Linked DNA regions of Diceros bicornis minor. The protein of the gene in region 1 interacts with the protein of each later gene in a biochemical or structural test. Links are inferred from orthologs where the notes say so. Each region holds a gene or a part of one and is shown on either strand. Other genes may lie near its edges. The genes, in order: RBX1, DDB2, UBE2G1 and UBE2F.

Evidence for each region.
Region 2: the proteins of RBX1 (region 1) and DDB2 form a complex in vitro, tested with the Homo sapiens proteins (2 studies listed by BioGRID, with this or other methods). The link is inferred for Diceros bicornis minor from reciprocal best matches to the Homo sapiens genes RBX1 and DDB2.
Region 3: the proteins of RBX1 (region 1) and UBE2G1 form a complex in vitro, tested with the Homo sapiens proteins (8 studies listed by BioGRID). The link is inferred for Diceros bicornis minor from reciprocal best matches to the Homo sapiens genes RBX1 and UBE2G1.
Region 4: the proteins of RBX1 (region 1) and UBE2F form a complex in vitro, tested with the Homo sapiens proteins (2 studies listed by BioGRID). The link is inferred for Diceros bicornis minor from reciprocal best matches to the Homo sapiens genes RBX1 and UBE2F.

What each region holds. Positions count from the first base shown.
Region 1 is NC_080764.1:9,389,896-9,397,642, forward strand, and holds the start of RBX1 (E3 ubiquitin-protein ligase RBX1), read right to left. Parts: upstream 3,011-7,747; 5' UTR 2,994-3,010; coding exon 2,916-2,993; intron 993-2,915; coding exon 914-992; intron 1-913. UniProt on the Homo sapiens protein: E3 ubiquitin ligase component of multiple cullin-RING-based E3 ubiquitin-protein ligase (CRLs) complexes which mediate the ubiquitination and subsequent proteasomal degradation of target proteins, including proteins involved in cell cycle progression, signal transduction, transcription and transcription-coupled nucleotide excision repair.
Region 2 is NC_080770.1:23,170,415-23,178,239, reverse strand, and holds the start of DDB2 (DNA damage-binding protein 2), read left to right. Parts: upstream 1-4,818; coding exon 4,819-4,945; intron 4,946-6,088; coding exon 6,089-6,225; intron 6,226-6,604; coding exon 6,605-6,796; intron 6,797-7,825.
Region 3 is NC_080757.1:13,461,336-13,468,269, forward strand, and holds the start of UBE2G1 (ubiquitin-conjugating enzyme E2 G1), read left to right. Parts: upstream 1-3,918; 5' UTR 3,919-4,219; coding exon 4,220-4,265; intron 4,266-6,934. UniProt on the Homo sapiens protein: Accepts ubiquitin from the E1 complex and catalyzes its covalent attachment to other proteins. In vitro catalyzes 'Lys-48'-, as well as 'Lys-63'-linked polyubiquitination. May be involved in degradation of muscle-specific proteins.
Region 4 is NC_080776.1:25,402,296-25,409,423, forward strand, and holds the start of UBE2F (NEDD8-conjugating enzyme UBE2F), read left to right. Parts: upstream 1-4,119; 5' UTR 4,120-4,225; intron 4,226-7,128. UniProt on the Homo sapiens protein: Accepts the ubiquitin-like protein NEDD8 from the UBA3-NAE1 E1 complex and catalyzes its covalent attachment to other proteins. Together with the E3 ubiquitin ligase RNF7/RBX2, specifically neddylates cullin-5 (CUL5).

The DNA.
Region 1 (7,747 bases):
TTAGATTATGTATGTGCTTGCATGTGTGGCTCACATTTAGATTGGACAGTGTTGGGTTAGACAAAGGTAATGGGGAAAAGAGGCAGAGAATATTCCAGGCAGAGGGAATAGGATATGTAAAGGCTCTAAAGAAGAGCATGCACACTTGGGGAATGGAAAGAAAGCCAGAGAAACTACCAGAGTGAGCAGGAGAGTGGCTCAAGATGAAGCTGGAGAGGGAGGCAAGTGATTTAGGAACTAAGTGCCTATCATTTCATTCTAGAAAGTTGAAATTTCTTTGCCCCATTTCTGATCTCAATAACAAACCATTTTAGTACCTGGATGAAAAAGTAACCTCAACTGTTCCTGGTGTGATCAACATTCTTGCCCCTATTACTACAAGGATACTCAGTCAGTCCATCAACAGCTATCATCAAACCTGCTATGTGTAATGGAATATGTGGAGATTTACATGAAACTTCTTTAGTGCAGTTAATTGCCTATTTAGATGTTGGCAGTGATGTCCTCTTAACTCTGTCTGGGGCTAACACTGAAAATCCTTCCTTCTTAGGCTTTTCTTTATAAATCTTACCCAGCAAAAACTAGCTCTAGATAGAATATTTTAGCTCAAAGTTTATTTTCTTTCTTTCTCTATTTCTGCCTTTGAGTCTGGGTATAAGATGGGAAATACAGAGGAATAACCAACAGTGCCTCTGTGTCCATAATTCACTCTAAATGTGGCCTTGCCATCTTTAGATGGAGTAGATTTGAGAGATGGGTATGCCTCCAGGACATCATAAAAACTACTCTATTTCAAACATACCAATGGACTACATGCAGAAGAGCCCTTGTGAAGAAGAAAATTGGTCACATCAGGATAGCCACAATCTCTGTAACCTTCTCAACTTCCTCCCATCCTCCTCCAATTACTTACAAAGATCCATAATGTGGTTCCTGCAGATGGCACAGTTATCAACCACAATATCCCAGGCCCAGAGGGCTACTGCATTCCACTGCAAAGAGAAAAAGGGGGAACAATGCACTCTACTCTCCTTGTAACACACACACACACTCACACTCTAGGATTTCATGCTGCAGCTGCAATTATCATCTCTTTGGCCACAAGGACCACCAAACAAAAGAGCCTGGGGATACTACATTACTCTTATTTATTATATCCGAGGGCAAAAGTAGGCTACACATATGCTCATTTATTCTCCAAACAGTTGAGTATATAAACACAGAAATTAATGAGTCATCTTTTAATTTTATTTTTTCCTACAGCTTAAAATAATTTAGTCAGCCATATCAACGTAAGCATAATTTGTAAGTGCCTGTTTTAGGTTTAATAAGCACAAACTTGAATTACTGTGCAGGTTCCCCAGGCAGCTGCAGAAGAGCTCAATTTCTGCATAAATAAATATCTGTTCTTCAAGGCAGCTTTGGAAGCATGAGTGGGGAGGTGAAAGCTAGGAACAGAACGAACTAAGATGATGATTGGATCATAAAATGGGTAATCGTGGGATAAGCTGGATAACGAATTACCCATTGTCAGTGCAGAGAACAAGGTCATGGCTTCAATCTTAAAAGATTACTTCTCAACAAACTCTAGAATTCACTAGAATTTTGTTTAGTTCCTACCATCAAATAAACTACTGTTCTCAACTTTTACATGCTCAGACTCTTATATTTAGTTCAAATAATTCCATTAGGAGTTTATCTAAAAAGTGGTATTTAAGTAATTCAACCTTCTGGCTTCTGCAATTATAAATGTTCCCAAACTTCTTTTCCATCCACTAATTTGATGCCACCTCCCAAACCTTCATCTCTTTCAATCCCAATTCTCAATGTCTAGTAACTTCTTCAGCACGTTTCACCCGACAGCTTCAACTTCGAGGAAAAAAATCCTACTTCTTTTATTCTTCAATATGGCTGCTGGCTGTAACTGAGCATGCAGTGCCCACAATGAAAAGCCAAAAAGCACTAGGAGGGGGAATATTGTCAGTATTCATCCAGATGTTCCAGGAATAACATCGTCCCTATTTCAGAGTCTTCATTTTGAACAGATTCACTTTATCTTAGGTAGGAATCGGCACTTTTCTCCCAAAGTGTTGGCAAACCACCATAAGGCGTTTCATGCAAAAAGACACGTTCCACATTTCTGCTTTCCCACTTCCACCAGGTCGTTCAAAACTAGTACACAACCCTCCTTAAATGACACAAGATTTGGGCTCGCATTTTCTTTTTAACAAATTCCACCATGGTTTTTTTTTTTTGGATAGGGAGATTCTGGATATGACCACAGGATTGGGGCGGCTGTGTGGCAAACCAACAGACCTCTCAGAAGAGCCAAGAGTTACACTCGAGACACTAACTCGGCGGGGATGAAGGCCAGGGAGGTGGCTAATGGAGGCCTCGATTAGGTGAGGACCGGGTCGGGGTCCCTCAGAGTCAAGAGGGACCCCAAGCTTCGGAGAGGGGCGGGGCAAGGAGGTCGCCAGCCCGGCTCCTCCGAGACCTCCAATGCGGTAGGACCTCAGGTTCCCGGCTTTCGCCGCACTGCCCCATCCTCCACCCACCGCACCGCTCCGACTCCCCCTTCCACCCACCCCACCCTCTCCTTCCCCACCCTTCCAGCACTCCAGTGACAGCTCAGGCGCTTGGCTCCCGCAGCCAAGCCGCAACCCCGCGTATCTCAATAAGCACGTCCGTGATTGGCCCCTCAGCCTCCGAACGAAACCAATGCTGCCAATGACAGTGGGCCCCAGTCACGCCGATCAACGCTAAGACCCGCCCCCCGGCTTCCTTTCGTGGTACCCGGTCTCAGGAACGCCCTGAAATGAAGCCCTTTCCTCTGCGCCTCGGTCATCCTAGGGCCTGCCAGCCAGATCCGCGCCTCTCTAGGTCCCCTGAGGAAGGCGCTGGCGAGACCCAACCTTTTTCACTTCAAAGCGCTTCTTGCCCGCGCCGCTGTTGGTGCCGCTCGGGGTATCCACATCCATCGCTGCCGCCATTTTGGAAACACACGGTCTGTCGTCCGGCCACTGCGCCTGCGCACCAGCGCACGCCTCGCTCCCCCTCCCGCCCCGGCGCCTCCTCCCGCACCTCACCCCTTACAGGCGCGCGAGGGGCAGGTGGGGCGGAGCGTGTGGCCACGCCTCTTAAAGGCGCTGGCGCAGGTCCCCCCGCCCCCGTCGGCTGCGGAGGCGGCGGCGGCGGCTGGGGCGGGGCGGGGCCGGGCGGGGCCGAGGCGACGTGAGCGAGCCAAGTGGAAACGTTCGAAAGGACTCGCTCTCGTCGCCCTCCCCGGGGAAGCCCCCGGCCACACTCTCTCAGCTGGGGCGGCGGCTGCTTCCTCCGCCTCGGCCGAGACCTGCCGCCCCGGCCCCGCCTCGCCTTCCCGGCTGCCGCGCTCTCCCGTGCCAGCGGGGCTTCCGCCGCGGAAGGGGCGAGGGTGGACGCCCGCCTCCTGCGGCCGAAACCCGAGACCCGACAGTGGCCTTTCGCAGTTCCTGACCCTCTTCCGAGCCAGGTCCGAGGTGCAGCCTCCCTGGGAGGCTTGAGGCCGGGGCCCGGGCACCGTTTGGTTTCCTGATTCCAATTCGGGGAATGCTCAGGATCCGACGGGGAGACGGGAACTCCCCGAATGTCCTCCCCAGGGCCAAGCTGAGCAGATATTCTCCAGCCCTGCCTTCACCTGCCCACCTGAAGTAGGTGGAGGATGCTTAGGAGCCTGGGAGATGCCGTCTCTAGGTCTCGCGAAATACCAATCCGTCCTAGAATGGGCTTTGGTTAAGGTACAGGATTTCAACTTCCCGCACATTCCCCGTTGAGCACACGTTCCTCGTTCCTCAGTTGGTCATCTAACTGTGGGGTCCTTTCTTCCTAATTTCGGTCGTCTTCCTGCTCCTTGTGCTGAAGTCACATCTACAGTCGCTGTACTTCTTGAATTTGTGTGAGGCATTCTGCCATTTAGTCTTACTGGTCATTCCTTCGCAGGCAAAGCACCTATACTTTACCTCACTCCCATTTCTAGACCAGGCCCCCCTTTTGCGTCTCTCACCTTGCAGAGATATGAGTCAGCTAGATCACTCTTACCTAAAAATCTCACATTTTCTCTTAGAATTCGAGAGTAATGGAGTGTGACTTCATTGGTAAACTGGAAGAACTTCCATTTCTTTCCTCATCTTAGTCATAAACAAGAACAACAGATCCGTGAAACCACCACCACAGCTTTAACTGGACTCGGAAAGAGAAAAATTGTGTGAGACCTTCAAGCATTATAGAAACCCTACAAAGTTTTTCTTAGCCCAAGTTTTGTTAAATTAATGATTCCATGTTAAGATTTCTGTCATCTAATTTATTGTGTTCCTCCAGGAATACTAGAAACCCATAGTAAATTAAGGTACTGAGGGCATATTTATTCATTCAGTGTACCAGGTCCTGTTATAAATAGGAGAGACACAGTGATGAAGGAGTCAAACTCCTAGTAGGGAAATAATACCGGAGTCAATAAATACATCAGAAAATCTCGGATATCAAGTGCTATGAAGAAGACAAAACAAGGTCATGAGATTGAGGGGAGATGGAAGCAACATTCAATTGGGTGATTAGGTAAGGCCTCTATGAGGAGTGACAGTTCAGCTGAAGTCCTTATGAGGGCCTAAAAGCCCTGCGTGATCTGCTACATTCATTGTTCTGTGCTTATCTTCTTCTTCTGTTTTTTGGCTGAAGGAAGATAAGCCCTGAGCTAACATCTGTGCCAATCTTCCTCTATTTTTATGTGGGTATCTGCCACAGTATGGCTGACAAGTGGTGTAGGTCCTTGCCTGGGAACTGAATCTGCAAACCTGTGCCACCAAAGCGGAGCATGCCAAACTTAACCACTATGCCACAGGGCTGGCCCCTCTTCTTTTTTTAATGGTACAGGTACCTTCTAACACATTTTTTCATTTATTAGAGTTATTGTTTTTTCTGTGTGCTCACCAAGAGAGGAGATTTTTGATTGTTTTGTTTACTGGTAACAAAAACTGGAACAGTGCCTGGTACATTGTAGGTGCTCGGTATGTGTTGAATGAATAAATCGGAAGCTTGTTGAGCAAGGGATTTGTGGTAAGAGATGTCAGACAGGTAGGCAGGGGCCAGATCAGGTAGGGATTTTATTGCAGATGTTGTGAGAAGGCATTGGAGAGAGAAAGTAGGGGAAGGGACTAACAGTGACATAATCTAAGTTTATAAAAATTTTTAAGCTTTGTGAAGAAGGGATTGTAGGGATACATGAAGCAGCAAAATTTGCGAGTTGTTTCCTTTGCACCGAGCTACAGAGGGGAGATCGTAGGGGCGGTTCCATTAAGCCTTGAAAACCTCATGTGCTTATCTCTCTTTTGGAGATTTGCCTTACTGTGGCAATTGGCCATGGAATTCTGTATGCTAGGTTCTGCTGCTAAACCTAAGAAAACTTTTTGTGGACTCCATACTGATTCCTATCCTGCATAATTTCATTCCATTTACAATGCAATAGGTGGTAATTTTACTTTAGTTCTGTTCCTTTCATTTATTGATCCATTCATTCAACAAATATTTCTAAAATATCTACAGAACCTGCTGTGTCAACTACACCATGCTGGTCTAGAAAAAAAAGGCAATTGATATTTTAAGTACTTCCAAAAGGTCTCTTTCATCACTGAACTTATGGGGTAGTAGGAGAGAGGCAATAGTCAATTAATGATAATCCCAGTGAATTTTAGGAAAGGGGAAGTACAGGGTGCTTAGAAGCAGAAAGCAAGTCTGGGGAGCGGGAGGAAGTCCTCTTAGAGGAACTGGTTTGAGATTGAAGGATGAACCAGACGAATGGATGCAGTGGTATGCTGGTAAATGTTTAAAAACCACCTCTAAAAATAAAGTCTTGATTTGTAGCTTTAATAGCCAGATTGCAAAATTCCTGAAAGTTTAACAATTGCTCTTGTAAGCTGATGCAACCTGGCTGTTAAAGCTACAAATCAAGCACTTGCACACAATGAGGGATGTGGAAAAAGAAGGCATTCCAGGTAGAGCCAACAGAGTGCGGAAAAGGCTGGAAGCTGGAGAATGCATAGTGCACTCGTAAAGAAGCCTGGAATGGCTGGAGTATAAAGAGAGAGAGAGTGGTATAAATGAGTCTGCAATGATGTGCAAGAGTCAATTGTTAGCATCTCCTCCCAATTCTGTATTTAGCGACATCATGTTGGTAGCTTCAAATTGGCCATAATAGTAGTATTTACACCATGGAGATTAGCAAACACTACAGATCAGGGCTCCTCCTACCCCTAGAGTTGGTTGTTAAACATTTACCACTGGTAGGGGCCAGGTCTTGCAAGACTGTTCAGTAGAGCCATGCAAAGGGTTTGGGTCTTTATCCTTAGTGATGGGAAGCCATTGAAGGATTCTAACCAGTGAGTCACATGGTCAGATATGTCTTTTAAAAAGTTCTAGGCAAGACTTCCACTTCTGGGAAGATGGAGTAGACATACTTTTCCCTATTATTCCCTCTGAGGATGACTGAAATCCCTAGACAGGGTATATTGAAAAAAAAAAAAGAAGACTCTGAAAGGTGGAGAGAAGAAGGCAGACCAGTTAGGGATCTCAGGACTTGAGGAATGACATGGTAGTGAGTTCTCTGTGTTTTCTTTTTACTTCATACATCCCAGACTTGGAGCTGAAGAAGGTGGCAACCCAGAAATGCCAATAAGTGCAGACCAAAAAAAAAAAAAAAAAAAAGACCCAACAAAAGGCTGCTTTCTCTAGCAAATGGAAAACTTGTAGACAATAACTGCCCTACTCCATCCAAACAATACAGAAGAAAATGTGGCCCACTCCCACCCATGTCAGCAAAGCTGTTGGGGAGTCTGTTTTGTACAGCTCGCAAGTCTGTAACCAAGTGCCCCGACACCTGCGCCAGGGTGTGCAGGCTAATTAGGGAGTTGGAACTTTTACCCCTTCTGGCTGATAAGGTGCTGCTCTACCCCTGTGGTGTAAGAGAGGACCACGAGGAGGTCTGGACCTCCACTCCCACCGAGCAGTAATGAGGCACCCCTTCCCCTCCCTGCTGGGATGGTATTGGAGGAGACCTAGTGGAAAGTCAAGGCTTTCACCAATCATTATCCATCAAGAATGAGGCCATCCCCACTACAGTGTCAGTAGAGACCATGCGGGAAGCTAGAACTCCCACCCCTGCCCAGCAGTAACACGGAGCATCCCCACTCTTGGGTGTTAGTGGGGACCCAGTGGGGAACCTGGACTTCTACCTTCACCCTCTCCTGCTGGAGCAGTATCAAAAAAAAGCCAGAAGGTTAAAACAGAAGGTTTAAATAAGACCCAGAGTCTCATAACATAGTATAAAGATGTCCAGTTTCAGTTGAAAATTGCTCAACTGACCCAAGACTCTGAGGTCTCAAAGTGAATGAAAAAAGCCTATCAATAGATGCCAACACCAAAATAGCAGAGATGTTGGAATTATCTGACAAAGATTTTAGAGCAGCAATGATAAAAAAATTTTCAATGAGCAGTTACACACAAGCTTGAAACAAATGAGAAAATAGAAAGCCTCAGCAAAGAAATAGAAGATATAAAGAAGACCCAAAAGGAAATTTTATAGCAGAAAAATGCAATAACTGAAATTAATATCTCAGTGGATGGGCTCAATAGCAGAATGGAAGTGACAGAGGAAAAAAAATCACTAAACTGGAAGATAGAACAATAGAAATTAACCAGTCTGAACAAAAGAGAGAAA
Region 2 (7,825 bases), on another chromosome or scaffold:
TAACAACGTCTATTTGTAGAACACTTTACAGTTTGCAAAGCACTTTCACATATATGATTTCAGCACTCTGGCAATTGCCCTGCAAATCTGGCTGTCTGGAGAAGTTTCCTGGCATCCTGTACCTATGGTATGTCATGACAGGATATTGATTTAGTCTGTGGATGGTGCCTCATCCCCCACAACAAAGACAGAAGGTGGGTTTTTTTTCTTTGGTATTTACACAGCTGTCTGACACTTCCAAAGCTACCCAAAATTGTGTTTTGGAAAATGGATACTATTCCCAGAGGGTAGGAATCGAGCCTTCGTTTAGCATTATTATGAATTTATTCATATTTGGGCATTTAAATATGTACTGCAGATGCCAAGCAACAAGGACCCTGGATGCTGTATTCAGTCTGTTTCCAATCCTTTAGGAGAAATTTAAACTTCAGTTCTTTGCAAGCTCTGCAGAATCCTTGAGGCTGTCATTTGCAAACCACTGGATGCAGTCAGTGTGTGTGGGAAGCCTGCACACACCACCCGAGTGGATTATGAGTGGTTTTGCAGACTCAGCAGAACATTTGGATCCATAGACAGCTTGATCAGAATCAGAGTCGTGTACCAGCCTGCACCAGGAAAATGATTTCTGCTAAATGGAAACTTCCCACAAGGAGGCCAGAGATGAAAGCTGTCACTGGTTTCTGCTGCTTTAACAGCAAGTCACAGGATCACAAATTTTAAAACTGGAGGGGATCTGACAGACCACCTATTCCCTCCCCTTCATTTTATGACAGGAAACTTAGGCACAGAGAAGTGACACGATGGACCCAAGATCACATAGTCTAAGAACAATGCTCTTTCCACTGTGCTATATTATTCGTTCCAGAAAACACCTAAGCCACGTATTGTTTTACAGATCAAAGAAAGTGGCATTATTTAGGGTCATGCTCATGGTCTGCCCAGCACAGTGTGAACACGAGACCTTGATTTGCTTCACCAGCAGCTTTTGAATGAACTGCCTTGTGATGCCTTACATCAAAAGTAGTGTCATAGATAGAACCAAAACACCTATAAACAGGGTTTCATGGCACAGCCTCCCCACGGCGTGAAACCGGAGCGATGCTGCACCATTCACCTCATTATCAGATTAGCAGCATCAAAAAATACATATTAGGGCCGGCCCCGTGGCTTAGCGGTTAAGTACCTGAGCTCTGCTGCTGGCGGCCTGGGTTCGGATCCCGGGCGCACGCCGACGCACGCTTCTCTGGCCATGCTGAGGCCGCGTCCCACATATAGCAGCTAGAAGGCTGTGCAACTGTGACATACAACTATCTACTGGGGCTTTGGGGGGGCAAGAGGAGGATTGGCAATAGATGTTAGCTCAGAGCCGGTCTTCCTCAGCAAAAAGAGGAGGATTAGCATGGATGTTAGCTCAGGGCTGATCTTCCTCACCAAAAAAAAAAAAAAAAAAAAAAAAAAACATATTAAATGCTTTTGTCCACCCTGCATCTGATGGTTCATCAGACAGGAATGGATGACATCAGGTCCCTAGGCAGCTGTTTGGTGGTGAAACAAAGTGAAACCCAGGGTAAGGATGCCCTAAAGCACAACCTGAAACAAAGCACGTTACTAGCATGTGCAAGGCAGGTTTCCACTGCTCACACGTGGTTTTGTGAATCCACCACGGAAAACTCCCCAGTCCTGGGGCAGGCCCTGTGGCCTAGTGGTTGAGTTCAGCATGCTCTGCTTCTGCGGCCTGGTTTCAGTTCCCGGGCACGGACCTACACCACTTGTCAGTGGCCATGCTGTGGTGGCGACTCACATACAAATTAGAGGAAGATTGGCACAGAGGTTAGCTCAGGGCAAATCTCTCTCAGCAAAAAAAAGAAAGAACGAAAAAGAAAACTCCCCAGTCCTAAAAACGGATTCTGGGGAAACCTGGCATTAAGCAGGACATGACCTTTGCTCATGAATCCATCATGGCTAATCATTGCCTTCCTGCCTTTCCATTTCCTTTTTTTTGTTTGTTTGTTTGTTTTTGTGAGGAAGATCAGCCCTGAGCTAACATCCATGCCAATCCTCCTCTTTTTGCTGAGGAAGACTGGCCCTGAGCTAACATCCATCACCAATCCTCCTCCTTTTTTTTCCCCAAAGCCCCAGCAGATAGTTGTATGTCATAGTTGCACATCTTTCTAGTTGCTGTATGTGGGACGTGGCCTCAGCATGGCCGCAGAAGCGGTGCATCAGTGTGCGCCCGGGATCCGAACCCAGACCGCCAGTAGTGGAGCTCGGGCACTTAACTGCTAAGCCACGGGGCCGGCCCCTACATTTCCTACCCCTTTTTCCTGGAGCACTCTCCCCTTCTCCCCTCCCCTCCCTTTCCTCAATCTCTCAAGATTCAGCTTAAGTGTCACCTTCTTGGGGAAGACTTCCTTGACACTATCTCTTCTTTACCCCACGCCAAGTTGAGTTAAAGTTATCCTGTGCCCCCTACCCCACCAGAGCCCAATGCTTCCTCTCTCACTAAACTTATCACACTCTATTGTAGCTGTAGGTTTAGTTGTCTATTAAAAGGCACACTCCATGGGGGCAAAGAGCATTTTTCATTTCAGCATTCCCTTTGACTGGAATAATGCCAGGATCAGAGTAGGTTTTTGATCAATGTAGGTAGAATGAATGAAATGTGAATTCTTCTGCCTGCCATTCAACTTCCCCCTTTATCTGGCCTCTCTCACTTTGCACAGATCCTCAATGTGGTCAATTTTCTCCTCTTCAAGCTGCCTCCTACCCTACTCATAAATGTCAATGCTCCCAAGCCAAACACCATCAGGGACTCTCCTATAGCTCAACTTCGAGTCTATTGCTCATTGCAACAGAGGATGCATACCATGGGGAATGGTAAACATCTCTGTAAGAAGGTATGAGAAAGAACTTATAGTATTGGCTTGTGTTAGATGATTTGGATAAGGGTTCAAAGAAGTGGAGCTTTGCTCTGGATTGGAGGCTGTCAGAAAATGGCGGTAATTCTATGATTGAGTATCAATACATCTTGTCTATAAGGTGGGAGGAATGAAGCAAAGCTAAAGCTGTGATTGGCAAAGAATCTGCAGTCATTCATATTAGCCAAAATAATAGGGAGATGTTCCATCATCTTTGTGATTTGGACAACGTTCATACTTTTGCCTGTGTTCAGACATGAGTGATCACGTTTTTGTTGATCTCTCAGGGTCACACAATGGCCTTGTCTGGTGTAGATATTTTGTGAGATTGTTTACTTTGACAGAACACCAAGACCTAGCTAATAGTACCAGGCCAGCTGCCAGATGCCAGGGGCTGCTTTTTTTTCTCATAACCCACACCCATTCCTAACTTTTATCAAGCTGTTTCTCCTCCTAGGATGTTCTCCCTCCCCCAGCCAGCACCACGAAATCCCATCCTCCCTGAGTCTTTCTTAAATACTACTTTCTCCATTGGATTATCTTTTCTGAATGCATCTAAATGTCTTGGTTGGCATACCACAATTTGGTACTCAGCTGTGTTCCATCTTGAATTGTTTGAGTTGTTTCACATGTATTTTTTGTCGTCTCAGTAGGTTGTAAACCTTTTAGAGGTAGGGTCGTTTCTTATACTTCAGGATCCCCCAGAACTGAGCACCCTACTGAGGTGAAACTAATGGCCGGTCTGAGTAAGAGGGGCAGCTTGCTTCTGTAACACAGCCCTGAAAACACAGCTACAGGCCAGCAGGGGAGAAGCCACCAGCTTGCCTTTCCCACTAGTGGTTGCCATTTCTAACATGCTGGGCTGATCTTTCCACCAAGAAAGCATTTTTCCAATTTTTCTTTTGGAGCATTCATTTCCTTCCAAGAGTTCTGTTTGTAACTGTCTTTCGTCCCTACCTGTCTGAAAGCTCCTCGAGTGCAGGATCTACCATTAATGCATTTTTGTCCCCTCTCACCCTCCCAAAGCGCCTGGCACCTGGCTTAGCCGGTGGAAGGAAAGGACCAGCTGTCCAGACTAACCCCAGCTCCTGCCGGGCTCGTCGCAAAAAGTAGGCTGCATCCGAACTGTCTCCTGTCGGGCTACCTATGAGGCTGGCTGCCTTGGCCTTTGGCTGAAGTCAGGGCACAACACCTCAGCCCCGTCAGTTAGCCTCACGCCCTCCGGCCCATGACTGCCCCAGGCTGCTCCCTAGGCAGACAGCAAGTTTGGGGAAACCTTAAAAAGGTGCGCATTTCAACCACTCTCCACAGAGCAGCTGAGATTCGACGGAGCTGGAGAGATATAAGTACTACTCGACATCTACGACAACGCTGGCCGATGAGAAGTACTCGCTTTCCATCACAAGGAACCTGCCAGCTTTCTACAAAGCCGCTTCTCTCCAACTGTACCAGATCAGCCAATCACAAAGCTCAGGCGGGCGTGGCCACCAATTAGAAGGTAGAGAAGGTGGAGGCGAAGCCTTGATTGGCACCCGGTCTCTAGAGGACGCGCAAAGGCCTGGCAGCGCCGCGTCTGAAGAGGCTTCAGGTTGGGTGGCCCAGGGCGGGTAACCATCTTTCTTTCTGGCGGGTCAGCTGACTTGGACCAGCTCAGGCCCAACACGTAGGCGATACATCATTTCTCCAGGGAGCGGGTGAGCCCCTCCCCTGACACACTTCCCGTCTCTCCGCGCGCGCCCCCGCCCTCGCGGTGAGCCTGTTTGGCGGGAAGTTGGCTTAGTTGGCCTACCTGTGGCTCAGCGGGTTCTCTGGTCTCCGCCTTGTTTCTCCCCAGAGGCTTCTCAATCTTCCTTCTATGATCTCGGCATAGAGCACAGTACCCCTTCGCACGGAGGACGCGATGGCTCCCAGGAAACGCCCAGAAACCCAGAAGACCCCCGAGGTGGTTGTGCGCCGCAAGAGCAAGAGGAGCAGAAGCCCCAGGGAGCTGGAGCCCGAGGCCAAAAAGCTCTGTGCGAAGGGCCCCGGTACTGCCTGCGCCTGCTGCTTTCATAATGCTGCCATGTGGGGTTCTCACGCAGGAGGCTGGAGTGGGGGATGGGTGCTCCTAAATTCCTGAAGCTGTCCCAAGGATTGGACGCCTCAGGCTATGCATTTTGTCTGCAGGTCCTTTGAGACCCTAGAGTTTGGGCTTAACTCCCCTCAGGTGATGGCAAGAGGCAGATGAGCTCCATTACAACAGACACAACGGACTTGGCAAATTCCTTGTTTGTACCGGGATTTTTATACACCGAGGACCGCTTAAAATAATCCTCCCTTGCCTGGTGGTGTGTGCGCGCTGAATTTCGATAGTCACGCTTGTTAGCAGTATGTTGTTGGTTTCAGCTGTGAGAGCGCTCCATTTCCTTCCTTCCTTCCTTCGAAACTCATTCTCGGGGATTTGTCCGGGCTTGAACCTGGGGCTATGAGGAGTGTGAGGGACTCAAAAGACTAGAGTAGGGAGTTGTTGATTAAGTGGTTTTTTGTCCATGAGAAGAAAGAATTTGGTTGTCAAGAGGCGGGATTCATAGAGATCAGATCCTCAAATACTTGTTGGTAATCCAGACTTGCTTTATTCCTATTCTAGGTGGATCTACCTCACCAAAAGTAGCCTGGTTAATTTACAGCCCTGCCAGACCCTCTGGATCCTGCTGGTTTTCAGGAGAACAGATTGGATTTGGGGACACCAACGGGTCACCTCTACATTATTTTAGTATAGGATTTAAAGATACTGCTTATCCCAAACAGTCACTTCCACTATGCTGTCCTAAAATCTTTTTATTGTGCATTTTATGTGATTTTAAAACTGTCACCTGACCCTATCACGAGTTTCCAACCCAAACTGGGAAGAGTTCTGTAGTATACTTCATTGTGTTTTTCTTTGACTCATTTCTCAGGAACCCTGCAAGATCGTATATAATTTTGCAATGACTATTTTGGGGAACGGGCTGAATTCCTACTCACTATTTATTTCTTGTACTGGATGAGACTGAGCCACCCATGGAAAGGCCTTAGGAGGTGATGAGAGAGATTGGCCATGCTGAATGAAACAACAGGCTTTCTGGGATTTCAGCAGAAAAACCTTTCTTGAGTGGGATCGGAGAGGAAAATATGTTTGTTCTGCTTGGCAGGTTCTAGCAGAAGATTTGACTCAAGCTGCCTTTGGGCGGAGTTGGCTAGTCTGCAGGTCCCGCCACCATGCAGCAGCATCGTCAGGGCCCTCCACCAGCATAAGCTGGGCAGAGCTTCCTGGTCATCACTACAGCAGGTGAGGCGCTTCCTGGCTGAAGTACTCAAGGGTTTGCATGGTGCCTTTTTCCTACTGGATGCTCCAAAGTTAGATGCTAGGTTGGTTCAGCGGGTTGTCAGAGGGGTCAAATCACCCCTATCTTGGTGACTGGCCTACGGGCACTCAGCCAGGTAGAAGTCCTATGCCATAAAGGTCCCAGCTGGAATGCACTCTGCCCCTTTGCTTTCGAAGGTTAGTTCATGTACTTTGCAAATATTTCCATGCACAGGGCCGGGCAGTTAGTTTTCCTTTGGTGGGAGGACTTGGCCCTGGGGCTTATCTATGGAGGAGGCAGAGATTGGCAGTTTATCCAAGACTTGGGTTTTAATTCATCTTAATTCTTTTCTCTCTGTGTCAGGGTCTCCAGCAGTCCTTTTTGCACTCTCTGGCTTCTTACCGGATATTCCAAAAGGCTGCCCCCTTTGACAGGAGGGCCACTTCCTTGGCATGGCACCCAACTCACCCCAGCACCCTGGCTGTGGGTTCCAAAGGGGGAGATATCATGCTCTGGAACTTGGGCACAAAGGACAAACCCACCTTCATTAAAGGGGTGAGCAGTTCCCTGGGCCAGATGATAGTGCTGAAGAAGTGTTTGTTGAAGGAATGAAAAGTCATCCAGTAACAAAGAGATGATTGGGATCAAAAGTAACCGTGGGTATTTTCAAACAAGTAAATGGTTGTGATACTCAAATCTTTATTGAATGCCTGCCCTTAAAATATTAGGTAGTATAAAATATTTACCACCCTCCAGTAAGTCACCACATGGAATAGAATCTAAGCCTCCTCTTACCTCCTTGACCTTGACTCTTATACTGCTGTCTCTCCTCACTTCCTATGCTTTAGCCATATTAGCTATTTCTATCCCTGAAACTGAGTCCTTGCACTTGCTGTTCCCTTTGACTGGACTGCTCTGTCTTTGCTCATGGCTGGCTCCCTCTTACCATTCAGGTCTCAGCTCAATATACTTTTTCAAAGAGGCTTTCACTGACCATTTTGCCTAAAGTAGCCCCCATCCCACCCAGTCACTCCCTATCTCATTACCTGCTTCACTTTTCCCCCACAATGTTTATCATATCTAAAATGTTTTACTTACTTGTATGTCTTTGTCCCCTGGAAAGTGAGCTCCGTGATGGCAGGGACCTTGTCTTTCTGGTTCACCGCTGTATCTCCAGTGCCTAGAACAATGGCGCAGGGTAGCTGCTTTATATTTGTTGAATGAATGAGAGGCTTGAAGTGTAACTAGGTAGATGGAATGTATACATACAAGATAACTAGCAGTATGGATGCTAAATGCTACAGAACACAAGAGAAGGAAGAACCTCTTGCGAATTAGAGTCAGTAGAGAGGGCTTCATGGATGAGTGAGGAAGAACAATATTTAGATAAATGGAGAGAAAGGGGGAAAGGCTGTTTTGGGGCAAGGTTTGGCATAGAATTTATTAGGGATGGTCTTAATCGTGCTGGGGTTTATCATCAATTGCCAAGGGGTGAGGGTGTTGGCCCTTCCACCAAAGACCCGTAGCTTGTCCAGCTGGGAGCTAACATTGGAGGATAGTGTACAGTCATGTGTCACTTAACAA
Region 3 (6,934 bases), on another chromosome or scaffold:
CTCCCACTGGATGTCAGTGCCACGACGGCAGGGACTTGGCCTGCCTGGCTTACTCCCAGACCCCAGGTCTCAGAATCGCCTCTAGCTCATAGCAGGTGCTCAACACACATTTGTTAATAAATGAATATAGGGTTAGACAGTTGGGTGTGCATCTGGGCTGGAGATAAAGATTTGGAAATTATTATAAAAAATAAATCTTGGGCCGGCCCGGTGGCGCAAGCGGTTAAGTGCGCGCGCTCCGCTGTGGCGGCCCGGGGTTCGCTGGTTCGGATCCCGGGCGCGCACCGACGCACTGCTTGGTAAGCCATGCTGTGGCGGCGTCCCATATAAAGTGGAGGAAGATGGGCACCGACGTTGGCCCAGGGCCGTCTTCCTCAGCGAAAAAAGAGGAGGATTGGCGGATGTTAGCTCAGGGCTGATCTCCTCACAAAAAAAAAAAATAATAATAAATAAATAAATAAATAAATAAATCTTAATAAGCAAGGAATAGAAGGGAGCTTTCTTAGCCTGTTAAAAGGATCTATGAAAAAATCTACAGCATGAGACTTAATAATGAAACAGTGAAACAGTCCCTTTAAGAATGGAACAAGACAGGGGGCCGCCCCGTGGCTTAGTGGTTAAGTGAGCGCCCTCCACTGCTGGAGACCCGGGTTCGGATCCCGGGCTCGCACCGACGCGCTGCTTCTCTGGCCATGCTGAGGCCGCGTCCCACATACAGCAACTAGAAGGATGTGCAGCTATGACACACAACTATCTACTGGGGCTTTGGGGGAAAAATAAATTAAAAAACAAAGAAAATAATCTACAGATAAATGATTAATTTAGAGTTTAGTGAGGTTGCTGGATCAACATACAAAAGTCAATTGCTGTTTAAAATAATTTTTTATACACCAGGAAAATGCAGACTATCTCATTATTCCAGGCTTATCTCTAAATGTAAATGAAAACAACCATTATATCACCACAAAATTCACTTTGAGCATAGTGAATTAAAAAAAGAAAACACCACAGGCCGCCCCGTGGCTTAGCGGTTAAGTGCTCGCGCTCCGCTGCTGGCGGCCCAGCCCCGATCCCGGGCGCACACCAGACATACCGCTTCTCTGGCCATGCTGAGGCCGCGTCCCACATACAGCAACTAGAAGGATGTGCAGCTATGGCATACATCTACTGGGGCTTTGGGGGAAAAAAAATAAATACATAAGTAAAATTATTAAAAAAAAAAAAAGAAAACACCCTATAGACATACCAAGGCATGTTATCATGATCTTTAAAATATCAGATATAACAAGAAAATCCTAAGAATATCCAAGAAGAAAAAAAAATAGGCTGGGGGTGCCAGCCCGGTGGCATAATTGTTGGGTTTGCATGCTCCACTTCAGCGGCCTGGGGTTCACAGGTTCAGATCCCGGGCACAGACATATGCACTGCCCATCAAGCCATCCATGCTGTGGCAGGTGTCCTACATATAAAATAGAGGAAGATGGGCACAGATGTTAGCCCAGGGCCAATCTTCCTTAGCAAAAAAGAACATTGGCAACAGATGTTAGCTCAGTGCTACTCTTCCTCATCAAAAAAAAAAAAAGCCAGCTACAATGGAACAAGAATCAACAGCAACGTTGGATGCTAGAAGACAATGGACCAATGATTTCATATTCTTGAAGAAAAGTTATTTGATTTTAAACATAAAATTCGATACCCAGATAAAGTGGTATGAAATTACAGATGTTTAAAATTTTGGCATTTTTAGACATATAAGGACTTAGAAAATTTGTCTCAAATACACTTGTCAGAGTCATCTGATAATATGCTCCAGCAAAAGAAGGGAGTTAAAAGAGAATTATACTTGAGATCCAGGATGCAGTAGACTTAGCCCAGGAGAGCAGTCAGAGGGAATCCTAGGAAAACTTCTATGTAGGAGGCATGGCCCAAAGCAACGAGCCCAGATTAGAGAGGTAATATAGAAGCTTCCAGGAGAGAGATTTCCAAGAAAAAGGGCTTGATAGAATACAGTAGCAATGGGGTAGGATTGGGAGGGGAAAGATATTGATTATAATCAAGACACTGCAAGACAAAAAGTATAATTAGAAACTCTAGGCCAGAAAAAAATCTGTGTAAGGAATAAATATTATAATCCACTATAGTGTTTGGTTCTCCTATTCAACATTTACAAAGTCACAATAGTGTAAAAACTATTCATTGATATAACTAAATATGATGATTTAATGATATTAGGAAAATAAAGGATGGAAATAAGATAGTTAAATTCTTATTGGTTACAGCAAGAATAAATATATAAGGTCTAAACTGGATAAATCAAGACAAAGTACTATAAGTATGTCATTTAGAATAAATGAAGGTAACTACCGGAAGAAACTGCTAAAAGAGTAGTTAAAAGGGATTGCCTCTGGCAAGCAGGATTTAGGAATGGGGAAGGGGTGTGACAAAGCATGTTTCTTTTTTCCTGTAAGCCTTAATACACTGATTATTATCTATGTGTATTTACGACTTTGATAAAATCAAAAATTTATTTAAAAAGAAAGACTTTTGGTCCAGAAAGGAGGGGAGTTTGGTCCAGAAAGGAGGGAAATGGATTTTTTAATGGTAAAGCTAAGGAAGCTTCAGAGACTGCGTGAGCGCTGGAGTTTGCTTTGGGTGAGAGAGGAAGCTGTGTGGCAACCAGGCAGCATTTCTGATGACCCGGCTAAAGAGATCTCAGAGAAAGGGACGAATTACCCAAGCCTATTTGTGATTTATTTTCTCATTCTAAATAAATAGTCATTTTTGAACTTTATTTTTTCTTTTCCTTAAAGAGAGTCCTTCAAATTCCATAAACTTTAGGCTTCACAAAACCTAGGTTAACTCCCGAGGCGGGGGTGGGGGTTGTTATTCCAAAGAGTTCAGATTCACTCACAATGTTTATTTGTTCCTTTTAATTCTCTTTCTAGGGGGAAAGTGAGGGCAGTTTTTTCAGAAATTTTTATAATAAAAAAACTGTATTGGAACCTCTTCCTCCTCGGGCTTTTTCCCTTACCTGGAACTCACAGAGACTGTAAGCCCTTTGAGGGCAGGAACAGAGCTGTATTTCTCTGTGTACAAAGTTAATACATGTTTCATAAATATTTGTTGAAGAAAGATAAATTTGAGTGCCATGAGGAATTAGTCTCCCTTCTGCTCCATCTCTTTTTTGAGACTCTGTTTTATCAAACAGAAGGCTGCAGGAATGAGGAAAAGAGGAGGTAGAGAGGAGAAAGGTTGCTTCTCCCAAACCCTAGATCCCACACTTTGACTTGACATAATAGACGCCTTTCTGGACGACATTCTGAATTGTGTATACTGTACCCGATTTTGCTAATCTCAACTTCCCCTACTAATAGAGATTATTACTAACGATGCTTAAACATCTAGTACTATGAGATGCCGAACATTTTGCTTATTTCAAGACTCTTTGTGCATTCTTTCTGCAAAGTGAATGAACAGCATATTAAGCCTATTTTGGGGGTTTGCCTAAAACGGGACACACCAGGACTAAGTTCGGCTTTAACAATGACTAGCTCGCACACCATGTGTGGAGGGTTAGACCTTGTCGAGCGCTGGCCAACAGCTAGACATCTACTAGTTCTTTCGGCCCCTTCAGTGTCAGACCACCTGCTTCAACCCGGAGGCGGCGTCTTGACCCTGCGCGACCTCTTTGTCATGGCGTCTGCGGGGCGTCTACCACCAGAGGCCCTAGCACTCAGTCGGGCGTCGACCTTCCCAAGATGGCGGCGGTCGGGGCCACTGCGCGTAAGGGGCGGGACTCCGCCGCCGGGGGCGGGGCAGGGAAGCAGAGGGGTAGGACTTGCGGGCGGGCCGAGGGCGAAGTAGGCAGCCCCAGCGCGCCTGCGCGGAGCGTCCCTCCGCGCAGTGAGGCTGTGGCGGGGGAAGGTACCGGTGGGGCCGACGGGCGGGCTGAAGGAGGGAAGCGGACGAGCGAAGTCCCAGTGCGCGCCGCGGCGGCCCGGGTACCCTCCCCTTCCGGGCGCTGTGAGGAGAGCTGAACGGAGCGGACTCGCGCCGGCAGCGAGGCAGCGCTCCCGCCGCCCCAGCCCGGCCTCCCTCGGCTTCGGCGCTCCCGTCGCGGGGGCCCGGGTTCCTCAGCACACCCAGCTCCGGCAGCCCCCAGAGCCTGTCCCCAGCCCTTCGGAAGTCCCGGCGCCAGCCCGGGCCCTTGGCGGGGAGGATGACGGAGCTGCAGTCTGCACTGCTACTGCGAAGACAGCTGGCAGGTGAGCGGGCGGGCGGGCGGCGGGGCGCCGGCCGGGCCGCGATCGCGCGAGCCGCTGCCCGCCACCTCCTCCCCTCCTCCCGGGCCGGCGGCCGGACGGCCGAGGGGGAGCGGCAGCCACCGGCCAGGCCGGGTGCGGGCCTGCGAGGGTGGGGAGCCCGAGGCGCCGGTCCCGGCCGGGCCCAGCACTTCTTCCCCGGCTTTCGGAGGGCATTGGGGGCGGGGACGGGCCTGGCGCCCGGGGGGAAGGAGGGGAGCCTGCCCCCTCCCCCATTGCTCGGTGGGACATGGCGGGGGAGGGGCTGTGGGTCCCCAGCCCAGCCGACCCTCCTTAGAGGGGCGGGTCCCGGCTCAGGTGCGGCCGAGGCCGCCGGACCCTGGGGCTGAAGGGAGGTCTGGGCCCGGCCCGCGGTGAGCCCCCGGCGCGGGTGTCTGAGCGTTGGGCGGGCAGCAGGGCGAGAGTGGGCGGCGAGACGGGCCCCTGGCCCGGTGAGGCGCGCAAAACTTCTGCCCGGGCGGCGCCGGGTCCGAGGAGTTGTGGCCGACAACAAAAGCGCCGGCCTCCGCGGCCTCGTCGCGGGCTCGCGGGGTCCGAGAACCTGGCGGGGTGCGGGACGGCGCCTCGCCTGCCTCCGCCTGGCACGGGCTCCGGCTGCGCCGCCGGCTGGGGGAGGGTAGGAGCGGGCAAGAGGGGACGGCCGCTGGCTGGCCGGCGCCGGGCTTTGTGCTCGGAGCGATTCCGGCCCCCGCGCAGGCCTGCGGAACCGCGGGGCTGCGGCCTGCGGGCCCCGGTTCGGGGCGGCGGCCGGGCCGGCCTCCCCAGAGGTGCCTGCGTCCCCCTCCCCCATTGTCCCAGCCTCCGGCCGTTTGCGGCTTCCAGGTTGACTTTTTAGGGGGTTGGCTCCTACTCTGCTAGGACTGTGTGCGCGGAGCATGCGCACTGGAGACGTACGTGTGCGGAGTGTAAGGGGGGAGGCGGGTTGGTGGCTTCACAATGCCGCCCCACGTGCTGCCAGATTTAAAGAGAAATGAACCCGCAGTTACCCCTGCTGTCCAACGCCCAGTGTGTGTCCTTCTCAGTTCAGGCTTATCTTCACCTCCCCACTCTCTACGGACAGCAGTCCTAGCCCTCGGGAGAAGCCAAAGGCTGCAATGAAGAAATCTATTTTTGAAATAGATTTACTAAGAGTTTGAGGTGTTAGTTAAATCACCTTTATGGCTTCTTAAGGAAAAGGTTGTCAGCGGCTGTTCGAGATTGTATAATTAGGTTTATTATTAGACCATGAGCAAGCAGGTTTGGACAAGTATTAAAGTTCTAGATGCTCAGGGGGAGCGGCTTGACATGAAAAGAGAAATACTAGTGATACCTATGTCCATCAGGAATAATATATTGGAAAAGTAAAGTTTTAGATGCTCAGGGGGAGTGGCTTGACATGAAAAGAGAAATACTAGTGATACCTATGTCCATCAGGAATAATATATTGGAAAAGCAATGAAAGAATAACAACTTTATTGCGCCTTGTATTTGCAAACACATCTTACTTTTCTGTGTATTTTTTAGTTTGTTTTGGAGGAAGGAGTTAAAATGTTCTTTTGTCTCCCTGAGAATTCTTTAATCAGAATAAGTTTTTATTTTGTGGTGAACTATTAAACAGTATTAAAATACTAAATATTAAAATAGTACTCAACTCTTAATGGGAAAGATACACATTTTAAAAGGTGTAAAAGAAATTACGAAGTTACTAAGAAAGTATGACTAATAACAGTGTTAGCAGTAGCAATATTCAAAACTGTTTCCTACCCGTTTGTGAACCAGCTATAGACTTTGATAAGTCACTTGGTTCAGTTTTACACTCTTTTTTTTTTGACAAGATTAATCCCAGATATTGATGAAACGTTTCCCAAACCTCTTGATTAATGGTTGACTTTTTGATAAGGCACACTAAAATATACTTTAAGGTTGGAGGAGAGAATGATTTAGTTTGTAATTTTTCAAGCCTCATTATAAAGTTATTTAGCTGCTGATTAATTTTTCTTGCCTTCTTGATCAGAAACAATGGACTGTTCTTAATATTTTCTTAAAATTGTGAAGGATTTTAATTAACATACTGAAAATGTACAAAACAGTAGGCCAAGGCAGTGCATTAAGTGAAATGTAAAAATATCAAGTTTATTGGAAAGACTTAATAACTACATACTAAAAAAAAAGGCCCTGTTATATCTTCGCAGTACATTGTTTGAGCTTTGTGATTCTTCAAATATCATTTGAAAACAGGAAAGAATGGTAAACTGTAATCTCTTGAAAGCATTTAGAGTGAACTTTTGGAAGGCTTAACAATAAATGCTTTAAAAATCTTGAAATGTATTGAATTGAGTAGACCCACAAACCTGTAAGCCATTCTAACTGCTAGAATTTCAGAAACTTCCAACAGCAGTGGCCAACAATGGTTACATTTATTGAGCCCCTAGTCTCCCAGTCCTTAAGGATTTTACTAATTACTTGAGGGGAGAATTTATTGTGTGTGTTTTGTTTTGATGGTAACTGTAATGAAGAACCTGGTTACTTTCAGAGTTGAGCAGAATGGTTCCTTGGGTTGCAGAATTTCTCAGCCTCGGAAATACTGACATTTTCGGCCAGTTAGTTATTGCTCTGTGGGCCTATAGTGTGCA
Region 4 (7,128 bases), on another chromosome or scaffold:
AGGCTCTGCTGCAGCAGCTCGGGGTCCACAGGTTTGGATCCTGGGCGTGGACCGACGCACTGCTTGTCAGGCCATGCTGTGGCGGCGTCCCATATAAAATAGTGGAAGATGGGCATAGATGTTAGCCCAGGGCCCATCTTCCTCGGTAAAAAGAGGAGGATTGGCAATAGATGTTAGCTCAGGGCTAATCTTTCTCACCAAAAAAAAAAAAAAAGAAACAAAAACAAAAACAAAACAATGCACAGCCCTTGTTAAAATGTGCCCAGCACTGCTTTAGGGTGAATGATGAAAATCTGAATCCTATAATATTTAAAAGACCACTCTGATTCAGTCCTTTTCCAGAATAGCTGTCATGGCCCATTTTATTATTTTTTAAAGGAATAAAAGGACACATGATGTTTTCCCTGGGGGCCAGTTAAAACAGCAGTCAAAAGTTAATTATACCAGATATGTAATTAAAGTCACATTACTTAGAATCTAATTGTTGCCTGGGTAGCCCCTTACATCATCATCATCGTCACCATAATTTGAGCCCCCCCAATGGCAAGGAGTCTGTCCCCTCGCTGATACCACAGAGGATCCCAGGACTGGGTCACCAGAGGGGCCGATGGGTCTTGGTTAAGACAACCTCTCCTGTTCCCCATAACCACTTCCAGCCACTCTTTGTCTGGTCTCATCTTTGCCTCATCCTCCCCTCTCCAGAGCACTTTCACTAGGAAAGGCCCAATAAAGCTTTTCCTAAAAATAACGTGACCTGTTTCCACTTTTAGCAACAGAAAGCACCAGTAGCACGTTGGGTTTTGTCCATTAGTTTTCAGCCTCCCCAGATGAATTCTAAGGCAAGGGCTATGGTCAGCATAGCTATTCTCCCTCCCTCCTTCTGCCAGCAGTCTCTCAATTCAGGTGGGACAGCGGAGACTCTGATCTCCGCTATGTGGAGCAGACCTCAGGGGTCACAGCTGAACCCCCCATTCTATAGTGACTTCCCGAGTACTAGTTCCCCAGGGAGCTCATGCTTCTGGAGGGCAGAGTCTGCGCTTTATATATTCTGTACCCTCTGACACTCAGTACCAGGTAGGTACTCATCATATAGTTCCTGCTTATTGAAATAGATTTCAGAAGACCCCGTAGGGACACAGGGCCTATGTGTGTCCACTGCTGTCCAGTGCCCTGGGCCTTGCTCCCCGGGAGAACTGGGGCTGGCTGGAGGGCAGGATGCATGTCCTGGAATAACCTAGAACGACAAAGAACAGGTTAGAGCAGGTACCAGCTGAGGGCGGAGTTGAACCCTTCCACCCACATCTACTCCCCATCTAGTGTCGCCAGGGCTGTTTCCCAATTCACGCAAGGGGTCAAGTTTGGAACATCACTAAGGTCGTGCCCCAGGGAAGGCTTGAAGTGCCTAGGACAGTGTGGGGCAGAGGGAGTGGCACAAGTGGACCTGGTGGGCCTGGCTCTGATCTCAGCTCACCCAGGCTACAGGTTTTACCTCTCGGGGCAATTCTCCACTGAAACACAGAGCCAGGAATGTCTACCCAATGGGGTGCCACTGATGTGGAAGATCTCTGCTCCATCCATAGTGAGTGCAGGAGGGAAGAGCGGAGTGGATGGCTAAGGAAGGTGTCCCTCCCCTGGCTTTCCTGGCAGAGGTCACTTTTCCTGCCTAGGAGGCCCTACCCTAACCCAGCAGGCAACCAAGCCCTTGCACTAGGCATTGTCACTCAGCTGGCAGGCTGCCTCAGGCTGAAGATTATCCAGGGCCCTGGCTTGGTGGTACCATGTCATCCAGGTCAGGGAGCCCCGGACCAGGCCAGACAGCCTCTGAGATAGCCTGTGCAGTTGTGTCCAGAGGCAGGCCTGGCTGAAAACAGAGAGGGGATATCTCCCCTTCCACGGCCCAGCTGGAAGCCTTGGGTTGAACTTCTCGGGGTAGGCATGGAGGAGGTAGGAAGGACACCTGGTGAACTGTCTCTACCTGCTCTTCCTCTGGCACCAGCACCTCTTTGGGAGACTCACAATTGAACCTCTACCCTTCCTCCCATACACAATGCCGTGTGCACACACACACACACACACACACACACATGCACGGTGGGCACGTGATCCTCCAAAGCCCAGCCAATCCCTCCCAGTGAATGTGAAAGAGGGAGGGAAGGGGCAGCCCCTTCTATGGCCTGGATTGTAAAGATGTGTTTGAGGCCAGGCCCCAGCTCCAAGGAGGCATCTGGGAGGACAAGGCTAGCCCCCAGAGGCCAAGACTCTTGGAGCCACTGAGAGCGACAGGCCAGGTTCCCCGGTTCCTAGAGCTGACCTTCTTTAGGTTCTGTGAGCATACCCAGCCTTCTAAATCTTTTGTGCTTAAGCTAGTGAAAGTTCTGTTTTTGAAGGAGCCCGGGATGAAAACCAATTGCTTCTGCAGGAAGCAGGAGGGCCAACTTTGCCCCTTACCTGCCTGCTGGCACCACCAGCTGCCTAAGGGGCGTGGTGCACCAGTTGAGGGCAAATCCTAGCTGCCATATTGGGCAGACTACTTCCTTATCTTTAAAATGGGGATAATAAAATACCCGTTTCAAGAGGTTGTTGTAAGGATTACATGAGTTAATAATCTAGTAAACCCTAAATAAGCCTCAGGTGAAGACATGAGGCAGCCTCATGAAATGGAGCTAGAAATGGCTTTATATATCCACAACGGTGAGCTGTGGGCCACTGTGCGGTGCAGCCCATCCTGTAGACAGTGTTCCCAGTGAATAAGATGAGTACTCAAGCCATTCCAGTCCTTCCTTCACCTGCCGCCTTGCTTCAAGGCCTTATTTTCTCTTGCCAGGTCTCCTGCAATAGCTCATGCAATACTTATCCAGCAGATGTATTATGTCCACCTGTTATGTGCCAGGATGGGGGGAGGGGGAGTAGAAGGAGGGAGAACACAGCAGAGGAGGGCCCGGGGAGCTGAGCTTAGGGAAATGGTAGGGGGGCGGGGGGAGCACAGGGCTCCAGTAAAGTCACAGAGGGGCACCTGCACCTCCCAGTCTCTGGGGCCTCTCTGACAAGTGGTGTCTAAGCTTGGGAAAACTCAAGTTAGCCAGGTGAAGAAGGAGGAAATCATTCCCAAACAGAAGGGATACCATGAGTTGTGTGTTCTTCACTGGTCTTCCTGACTCTACTCTCCTCACTGCCTGGCTCCCACTGCCTCAGAGTCAGAGCCTCTTTTAGAAAGAAAACTTGATATTGGTACTCCACTGTTTAAAACCTTTCAATGGGGCTTCTGGAAATAAGATTCTAACTTCTTGGTCCACGAAGTGAACCTCATCTTTCAGATGGCCCACTCCTCCAGGAGCCCTGCCCGACCTGCCGCCCAGCCCGCCCCCTCCCCCGCCCAGCGCCTATTACCAACCACACTGGGACACAAATGGACGTGAGAAGAATTCGTACTCAACAAGCTAGAAATACAACAATTTGAAACAGATTTTTAGAGTAAGTACTTTACCAATGTGGAAGAGATGAAACAGGAATAAAAACCATTAAGACAAAGGCAGGAAAGGCCCACCCACTCCTCTGCGAGCTCGGCCGAGGCACCCGGGGGGTTGGCGGCTGTTGGCACGTCTGGCCGCCCCGGCTCCCGGCCCCTACCCTGCCGGCTGTGGGGCAGCCCGGTCCTCCGCAACCTCGGCACTGCGCTGGGCACACAGAAGACGCCCCATCCGCCGAGGCGGTTAATTCCGGCCTGGCCGCTCCTCCAGGCCAGGCCGCACAGGGATCCTCCGAGCCCCACGCCCAGTGTCAACGCACCACCAACTGAATGGAGGCAGGAACGCCGCACAGAACCCCCGGGGCCGCGGCGCGCAGGCTCCGGTACAGACGGGAGACCCGCTCCCGGCCGTCACTCGCCAATCAGCGAGGGCCGCGAGATCCGCGCCCGCCCCCGGCCGCGCCCTCTGCCAATCAGCGAGGTCCGAGCAGCCTGCTTCCCAGCCCAGCCGCAGCCGGCGCACGGCGCTGTTCGCGCGTCAAGTTCCAAATAAAGTTCTTCGGAGCTTTGAATTTTTTTTTTAAAGCGCCAGCTGCAGCAGCGGCCGCTGCGGGCGAGAGCGGCCGAGTCCCCGCCCCGCCACTTCCGGTCCTGCCGCCCGGAGCCGGTGCGGCTGTGAGGGGCCGCGTCTTGCCGCTGCCGGCCGGCCGGGCATGGTGTTGGGCGCCGGGTCCGCCTCGCCTGTCTCGGGGTGCCCAGGTGAGGAGCGCGCGGCCCTGCGCGGGCGAGGGGCTCCCGCGGCGCCGGTGCACCGGGCGGGTGGAGGGCGGGCGGCGCCGAGGCCGCCTCAGGCCGTGCCGCCCCTCAGGACCGGGCGCCGGGGGCCCGCGGGCGGGTGCCGCGGGGCGCAGGCGGGGGGCGCGGGGTCGGGCGGCGGGAATGGGAAGGGCCGGGTCGGGCGCTGCAGGGCGCTGGGACAGCCCCCCCTCCCCCGCCCCCCCCGACCGTGATGCCGGGTACACACGGCCTCACGCCGCCGTCGCGGGGAGCTGCTGGCCGCATTGTCCAGAGGAAACGGAGCGCGAGTGCTGGGCCAAGGTCACCAGCCCGACGGGGCCGGAGGAAGCGGGGCTCGGACGCGGGCGGTCCGACTCGGGACTGCCTCGGGGATCAGGCTAGGCCGAGAGGGCGAGGTGGGGGGACACTCCCGCCTAGCCGGCGTGCTCGCAGCTTCCCCACGATGGGGGTTGGGGGTGGGCACGGCTAGTTTGAAGGGTTTTGCTGGCCGGGAGACGGGGAGGGCATCTTGGAAAGATCAGTACAGCCGAGTCTTGGATTCTAGACCTGGCTCTGCGGGTGTGTAATCTTGGGTGTGGCCCTCTTCTCCCTGGGGCTCAGTTTCCTCATCTGTCACATGAGGGGATTGGGCCCGCCCCCTTCTGCATTCCCTCCAGCGCTGGAGTGGGGTCAGGATGGATCGGAGGGGCCTGAGAAGGCTTCTTGGAGGGGATGTTGGAAATCTGGGTCGGAATCTGTTACCCTAGGGAAGGAGCGGGATTAGGTGGCGAAGGGAACGAGGGCATTTCAGACCTGGCTATCACATTGAGCAGAAGCTTCCAGAAATGAGCAGGGAGTTGTTGAGGAACAGGGAGGATGCTCGCCTGCCTTGTGCAGAGGATTCCCTGCTGGGTAAGCGGATGAAGGCAGGGGAGAGGGTAGCAGTGGGAGAGATGTTCAGAGACAAATCATCACCAGGCTAGGAGGTCTGAGGCTTGAGGACCTCTGCCAGGACATACCTGCCATTCAGGTAGTGTGCAGAAGGGGGCAGGTTTACTGCTGAAAATAAGAGTTGGGCTCCAAAGGTCGGTCAGCCAACCAGGGTGACTCCAGGTGGGAGGTTCCAGGGCCCCAGCATTCTGAAGGAGGAGGGTAGGGTGTGGACTTTTTTGTGTCCTGATTTGGGCCTCTTTGGCTGGAGAAGTTGGTTGTCCCCTAGTGTCCTGCAGTTCCATCTTTTACATTGAGATTGGGACTTTTCCACTGCAGGAAGAATTGTAAATGAGAAGTTCCCCACCACGTGAGCTGACTGGCCCGTGATGTCCATGCACAGGTGACATGGCCTGATTTTGCCGCTACAGGTGGGAATGTTGTGTAAATATTACTTGGTATGATGAGACTAGTAAATAGCACATAAGAATCTTCTTTGAACAGTCTGAAAGCAAGACCCACCCAGAAGAGGAACTTAACCAGGCCAATTACAACTTGTGGAATTTACAGACTGAGCATGCTGTTCAGTATAGCTGGTGCGTTACCAAAAATGCTGCCATAGTCAGAGTGTCATTTGCAGTAAAGGGGAAGTTTAGTTTTAAAATAGCTCTTTAAGGAATGAAGCATATTGAAGAAGGTAAAGAGAATTCCGAAGCAACTGCAGGTGTTCAGCTAACCTCTAGACTCTTTGAATAATTGTTTTTATTCAGATCTCTTTTATAGTGTTAATTTAACAGCTATGAACATTCCCAAATTTGTCCTTTGGTTTATCCCTAAAATGTCATGTCATAATGGTAAAGATGATGGAGAAGTAGATGGTCATTACATACATAGATTTTTTAGAATGTTAGGAAAGTGAGTTTTGTCTTATCTTCTATGGAAAACAAAACACCAGTGTTTTCTTTTGTATCTTGCCTAGTCAATTAATAAGGGCCACAGACTTGTTGAAGATCACAAGCCAGGAGTCTGTCTTTAAGTAGAATTGATTGAGTATGGAGCATACTCTGCCCACGGAGAAGAATTCATTGTGGGGTAGGGGTATAAAAGAATTAAAGGGGCTGGCCCGGTGGTGCAAGTGGTTAAGTGCGCGTGCTCGGCTGCGGCGGCCCGGGTTCGCTGGGTTCAGATCCCAAGGGTGCACCGATGCGGCGGCCCGGGGTTCGCTGGTTCGGATCCCCGGGGCGCACCGACGCACTGCTTGGCAAGCCATGCTGTGGTGGCTTCCCATATAAAGTGGAGGAAGATGGGCACGGATGTTAGCCCAGGGCCAGTCTTCCTCAGCAAAAACAGAGAGGATTGGCAAATGTTAGCACAGGGCTGATCTCCTCACAAAAAAAAAAAAAACAAAGAATTAAGCCGAGTCCTCAGACTGCAGTGACACAGAAGAGTGCCTTGGTATGAGCCTTTATTTGTGCGAGTGAGTCTTGCCAGGACCCTCTGAGTGGCTCCTTCGGTGCAGGTCCTCAGGGAGCTGGGTGTGGACTTGGCATGTGCCCTAGCACTTGCTTTCCCATGGGGCTCTTTATTATGACTTTCCTAGGGTACTGCCTGCTGAACTCTCTTTATGGACACTGTTCTTTTATTTTATTTTTTGGCATATTTGTATTGCTAAGGTTGGCTAGAGGATAAAAACCAAGTGGATTTGTGTGGTGCATCCAGCCAACTCCCAAGTGATGGATGCATATCTTGGCCCATCTTCAGGCGCCCCTGACGATGTGGTAGGACCGATGCTCAAGTCTGGGTGTGTGGCAGTGGACTTGGTTGGGAAGGCAAACACTGCTTTGTGATCCAGATCTGCTTAAGGGATTCCTGACAAGATCATTCCAGGTGGGGGCTGAGCAAGAGAGCCTGCTCTAGATGGTCCTGCTGTCTCTGGTAGCTTGTGGGCTGGAGCC